2 linked regions of the Nothobranchius furzeri genome follow. The protein of the gene in region 1 interacts with the protein of each later gene in a pairwise test. Links are inferred from orthologs where the notes say so. Each region holds a gene or a part of one and is shown in the gene's direction. Other genes may lie near its edges. The genes, in order: tsnax and gadd45ga.

Evidence for each region.
Region 2: the proteins of tsnax (region 1) and gadd45ga interact in binary tests that used the Homo sapiens proteins (3 or more experiments, as listed by UniProt). The two-hybrid records come from large-scale screens. The link is inferred for Nothobranchius furzeri from reciprocal best matches to the Homo sapiens genes TSNAX and GADD45G.

Annotation. Positions count from the first base shown.
Region 1 is NC_091752.1:2,307,019-2,309,673, forward strand, and holds the end of tsnax (translin-associated protein X), read left to right. Parts: intron 1-1,414; coding exon 1,415-1,536; intron 1,537-1,616; coding exon 1,617-1,994; 3' UTR 1,995-2,155; downstream 2,156-2,655.
Region 2 is NC_091757.1:52,117,759-52,121,460, forward strand, and holds gadd45ga (growth arrest and DNA-damage-inducible, gamma a), read left to right. Parts: upstream 1-1,483; 5' UTR 1,484-1,698; coding exon 1,699-1,751; intron 1,752-1,857; coding exon 1,858-1,959; intron 1,960-2,056; coding exon 2,057-2,267; intron 2,268-2,379; coding exon 2,380-2,493; 3' UTR 2,494-3,104; downstream 3,105-3,702. UniProt on the Homo sapiens protein: Involved in the regulation of growth and apoptosis. Mediates activation of stress-responsive MTK1/MEKK4 MAPKKK.

The DNA of each region.
Region 1 (2,655 bases):
CACTTTATCAACATGTTCTTTTATATGGCCGGACATATAGAATAGAATAGACTTATTCTATTAGACATATTTGCAAACACATAGAGACAATTGTGCAAATAACAGGTAAAGACATCCAGAACCCAGCTGTTGCAGAGGCAACTAACTGGTGACTCCACCAGCCGACAGAGTACAGGCTGTGTTCTTAGACGACAGGTCCGTCACCTAAATGTTTCCCAACAAGAACAGAACCAAACTCTAAATGGAACACGTGAAACGTTTCCATTGCTTGGTTCTTTTCTAAAAACATTTTAGAAAAGATTTGTTTTTACATTTTAAGCTGACAAGTTTCGGCTAACACTGTAGCTTCCTCAGAGCACCACCACTGGTTAGGCGTCACTTCCTTCTCCTTTTATCTGCGGGCAGCAGAGGACATCCTTCCAAGCAATGGAATTTGACGGATCACACATAACGAATGTACAAACGATGTGAAACAATTTGCAAACGTAATGGAACATTCAGTCTGTTACACTAGGCAGCGTACTCTGGCTTCACTTCCTGTTCAGCTGCTCCAGGTCGAGAACACACGATTCATGCACATAGAGAGGTGTGTGCAGAGAGGGGAGGGACGCCAAAGGGCAGTTTGATTGATGGATCAGGATCCATTAATGAAGAACGTGATGTTCACAGTGATTGGATGAGGTTTTTCAGGATTCTACATTTCAGAGGTCATTAAAATTATTCATTTTTTGGGGAAAATAGCTACCTTTAATCATGACATACTGAATGAGCTAATTAATCTAAACAGTGGGGAATAATTCATAATGAGCAAAACTATCAAAGTAAACAAACATCAGTCTCTGGTGTTTAGATTAGAAAACCAGTTAGGTTTCATTTTAAAAGGTCTAATTGGGTCGACCTTTTTGAGCGTAGTTGTTAGTTTCGTTTGTTTTGACTCGAGTACGTGCTAAAAGGAGACTCCTAAGTGACAGATAATCAGGAGAGAAGTGGAGATAATGCTTCCTACAGTGCTCTGCAGCACCTTGGGACCAGGGACATACCAGAACCGGCCCTTTCAAGTCCAGCTCCAGCTCCAAAAGTAAACTTCAGACACGACCGCTTCCGTCCTGTGATTATTTGATTATTGTTTACTCAGGAGCTGGAAACAAATGAGGGGTCGTCGTAGCATGACACACACATGCTCGCGCGCACACACACGCGCACACACACACACTGCTCTTCTACAAAGCAACAGAAACAGGAAAAGGTTTCTTTTTGAGGGATTGTTTTCAGGTAGCGTTTAAAGCTCATCATACATGGTTGTATTTTGTTTTGTTTTTTGAGGACAAATGCACGATCTGTGTTTTTGGTAGCAGCTTTAAAGATGAAACAGCTTTTTAATGTGATTTTACTCTAATGGAGTTTCACATTTCAGGAATTCAAGAATATGTGGAGGCCGTCTCTTTCCTGCACTACATCCGTCATCGCAGCCTCATCAGCCTGGAGGAGATCAACGCCAGGCTGGTGTTCATGGGGACAGAGAAGGCGGATCCGAAGGTGTGCCTAAAGAAAACCTCGTCCTGGAGTTGTCTAGCCTCTGAGAAAAACTAATTTATCTTTCTGTGTTTTCCCTTCAGGGTTCTGCTGAAGCTGCACCGCGAGGAACTCACGTTCTGACTTTCCAGGTGACGCCAGCGGACTACCTGCTGGGCGTGGCCGATCTGACGGGGGAGCTAATGCGCATGTGCATCAGCAGCGTGGGCAACGGCGATATAGAGACTCCCTTCCAGCTGAGCCAGTTCCTGAGGCAGATCCACGACGGTTTCTCCTACATCGGGAACACGGGTCCATACGAGGTCTCCAAAAAGCTGCACACGCTTCGCCAGAGCCTGGGGAAGGTGGAGGATGCGTGCTACACCCTGCACGTCCGCGGCTCTGAGATCCCCAAGCACATGCTGGCTGATTTGTTCTGCAGCAGAACCACCCACATGGACACAGAGGAGGGAGTAGTGTAGCTCCACACGCTTCACTAGTGCGTTTTGTTGTTTTAGGGTTAGCGTTACTCCATTTTTCGTTTTTACTACAGTAGCGTTGTTACAATAGAAGTTTTTTTTCATAATAATCTGATTACTGCAGTTGTGTTGCATGAATAAAAGTTCTGTGCCAAACTTTAAAATGTTTGGATTGTGTGTGTTCTCTCTGCCCGTCTCTCCCTCCCTCCATAACACACACAGGTAATCCACGGTGAAACTATTGGCTGCCGGCTCCTGCTGCAGTCTGAGACCACGAGCATGCAACCTTTGTACATCAACAGGCCCACACTCAAAAAACAACCCCCCTGCTTCGTAGCTTCTATCCTCGTTAAACCCTCCTCCCTCTGCAGCGGTTTGTGATAACGGTAACGAGCGTCTGACATCAGCACGGCGCAATTTACTAATCGTTACTAAACTTGGAGGGTTTTCCATTTTGAGCAGCCTGTTTAAGGTTAAAGGTCATACCTTCAAGATGTTCTGCTAGAGAGCAGAACTTAAGGTTCAGTCAGTTACAGCAAGTGGTCCAGGTCCAGCCCCACACCATCACACTACCACCACCATGTCTGACTAGCTATGATATTTTAGTGTTAGATTTACTCCAGACTGAATTTTGAGTACTTTTCAGATTGGCCTTAACTAAGGT
Region 2 (3,702 bases), on another chromosome or scaffold:
TTTTGGGTGTTTCAAACTTCAGTATTTAATTGCAAACATTTAATAAGAGTTCAGCTACGGTTGCTGTGGGCACAACACGTTTCAAAATGTAGCTATTTTGCAGAAAAAGTATGTTGAGATCTTAGTTACGTATCTCACAGGAAAGTGTTTTTCTCCACATTTCTTTTTAACTTCATGTAAATGCATTCATATGCTTTGGTTCCACATATCACATTACGCTACATTATCACAGAAAAACAAGTTCTTATGACTGCGTGTTCTGCCATTAGCGCGGGGGGGGGGGGGGGGGGGGATTTGGCACTGGCCCACCCTGGACCCCTTCTAGAACTGCCCCTGCTTTAATGCAGTATTGGTGACACACCAGATGGAACAAAACACATCTTTCCCAAATTTTCTGGGGATCAAGTAGCTTTATATTTTTGTTAGATGCACTTCCCCTCACAGAGAGATTTAAAGGTTAAAATCTTGTTTTTTACCCCTCTAAATTTGAATTACTCACACATGATACTTCAGTTATTAATAATAATAATAATAAATAACTGCTGCTATTGTAGATAATAGACAGGACCAAGTGCCCCTTTCTGAACAAAACAGCATCTGCTTATGATGTTGAATGCAAACACCGATAAGATAAAATGGTCAAGAAATGCTACCGGCTGCGGCACGTGGCGTTCCTTTGTAATTATTCTTTTTTAGGAGGGGCTCGGGCACATCTGTCGAACATCTGCTGCGGGTGGTCACTTAATGGCAATAAAGATAGCGCGTGGTCGCACAAAGAGCGCGTGCACGCACTCACACAACACGCTGACATGCCGGGCAGGTGGATCGTTGCGTGAGCCTGGCTTTGTCTCCAGAGGGAGACGACACGCGTCCCGCGGCGTCGCTTTCAACGAGCGAACAAAATAAGTGGCGCGTGCCCGGCCACAGATTACTGCGTCCCCCTTCTTCTGGACACTTCAAGAAGTATTTATGTAACTGATAGAGTCAGAGCGAGCTCCTCGGAACAGAACGGGGTTGTTCTGCAGCTGTAAACAGAGAAAGGAGCGGGTTGAGTAACAGGATTGAGCTCGCGCGCGCGCGCGCGCTGGTTTATTAAAGGGAAAGGCAATTAAATCAAACTTCCCAGTGATTCCCAACGCTGGGAAAGCGATGATGTTCATCATTTGTTTAATTGTGTTGTTTCGTGTTCGATCATTTCATGCTGCGCAATGTTGGCTCGTTATAAATAAAACTCACACAAAGAAAGCAGGATTCCTGGTAGACGGGAGTGTAAATAACATTTAAATCAATAGCGTGCAATCCCAAAAACAAATCAGTCAAAGGACACATCAGTGACTGTCCTGTGACTTACTGTGGCCACCGCAACCAGGACTTGTAGTTTTTGTACATTGTGGTGATGTTGGATGTTGACAAGACAAGGAGGGGTCGGTGGGGGTGAGGGGGATTTCTTGAAACGGTGAAATCTTGCCCCACGTGGGGTTGTCAACAGCTCAAAGTGGTCCGGGGACTTTTGTTGTACTGCTTCCAGCCAATCGTTGGAGTCAGGAGCAGAAAGACCCGCCCCTTGCCGAGAAACGACGCCAGCCAGCCTTTAAAGCCACCTCCAGCCGCGTCAGAGACCAGAATAACGCCGGAGACGCAGACACAGCACACACGGCTCATTTTCTCTCTTCACCGAGCGCTTGGATCTTTATCGCTATGACTCTGGAAGAGATCCGCGGACAAGAGAACACCATGGAAAACGCTGATAGGTAAATATCTCTCGCCTCTTTTTAAAATGTTACTTAAAAGGCAGGAATATTGAAACGGTTTCATTTGAACGCCCGGTCCTGACGAGATGCTTTTGTCTTTGTTAAGAGTGCAAAGTGCAGGCGCAGCCCTGGAGGAGCTGCTGGTCGCTGCTAAGCAGCAGGACTTCCTGACCGTCGGAGTTTACGAGTCTGCTAAAGTCATGAATGTGTGAGTATCGCGACTTTTCCCACCGCTTTTGCACGTTTGCTGCCAATCAAGTGTGACGGGGTATCATCTGATCGGCCTCCCTCCTCCTCCTCCACAGTGACCCAGACAGCGTGGCATTCTGTGTCCTCGCCACGGATGAGGAGTACGAGTGTGACATTGCGCTTCAGATCCACTTCACCCTCATCCAGGCTTTCTGCTTCGATAATGACATCAACGTGGTGCGCGTGAATGACATCGAGCGCCTGGCGGACCTCGTGGGTGCAGACGAGAGCGGCGAGCCCAAGGACGCGCACTGCATTCTTGTCACGGTGCGTAAAACCCAGAAGCTTGCAGCCAGTGACTCATGCGTGCATGACTCTTTTGGTCGGACTCTTGTGTCTGAAGGTGGCTCTAAACCGTTTTTTGTTTTGTTCATTTCAGAGCCCCAGTGCAAACCCATGGAAAGACCCTGCTCTGGACAAGCTGAGTCTGTTCTGCGAGGAAAGCCGCAGTGCATACGACTGGGTGCCCACCATAACCCTGCCAGAGCGCTGAGGTGACGTCACACCAAAACGCTGCTGATGAGGATCGTGAAAAAGAAAGTCAAGAAGTTGACCTTCAGCTGAGCGACTCGAGGAGCCGTGTGCGTCTGGATTAAGAGGCTCTGGCTGCATCCCCAGTCTGCAACCCTTCCAGAGCGTTCTGGGTCGGCGAGTTGGTTCTGGATCACCCCCATCCCCCTGTGATGATGGGGCTGAAGTTCTGAGATCAGTGTCGACTGAGTCAAATGGCACAACGCTTTATGGACACTGAGGAGGAGGTGGACTGTGCTGGATGGTGACCCTGTGCTGCCCCCATGTGTGGAGCTGAGCAGCGGGGAGAGGTGCAGTGGAATTCTGAAAGTGGAGACCGACTGGATCTCACTACAAAGGAACAGTTCCGGTTCAGAAGATGAAAGTGTCAAAGTGGAATCTTTCTTTTTGAGCGCAGCTATCAGGAACTTCTTGGAATAAGCAGAGACTTTGCTTGCAAATCCTGATAAGAGCTGTGAGACTCTTGTGGACTTCTTTACACACTATCATTATTGTTGAATGTGCATACTGAAGAACGCAACATCCGTTTGAATTGTACTGAAATGCTTTGTGAATAAACATGTAGAATCAAAACTCCTGCTCCTTTTCAAGTTCTTTAAGTTTCTTCTCTTGAGGCGAGCTGACATGCAACCGATTGTGAGGATGCAGAGAGCGTCAGGAAGTGTTACTGGTTCAGTTTCAGAAGAAAAGGGAAAATTTAGGCGGAAGGAAAGTAGCGATCAACATTAAAACATGGCTGAAAGCACTGTTTCCAGGTATTGACCTTTAACCGCACACATGCACCACAAACCACATTAGACACCACGCAACAATAAAGGTGAAAAAGATGTCATGCAGCAGGCAGTGAACATGTTTATAGACCCCCAGAAGCAAGCACGTGTGTGTGAAAGAGAGAGAATCTGCACAGAGCTGTAAGAGAATGAGGGTCACTGAGGGGAAGAAGTGCATGCATGTCAGTGTGTGTGTGTGTGTGTGTGTGAGTGTGTTGCGGTCGGTCCAGAGCAGAAACTGACAGTAATAGGTGGCCCACATCAGAGAGATAGCAGACTTCAGAGAAGCTCTGTTTGATTTTCTTGGCAGGGGACCTCACTCTCAAGCCAGCCGCTGGCCACAGCCTGCTGCACGAGCACACAGGTGCATGCAGGCGAGAACTGACACCTGTGTGTGTGTG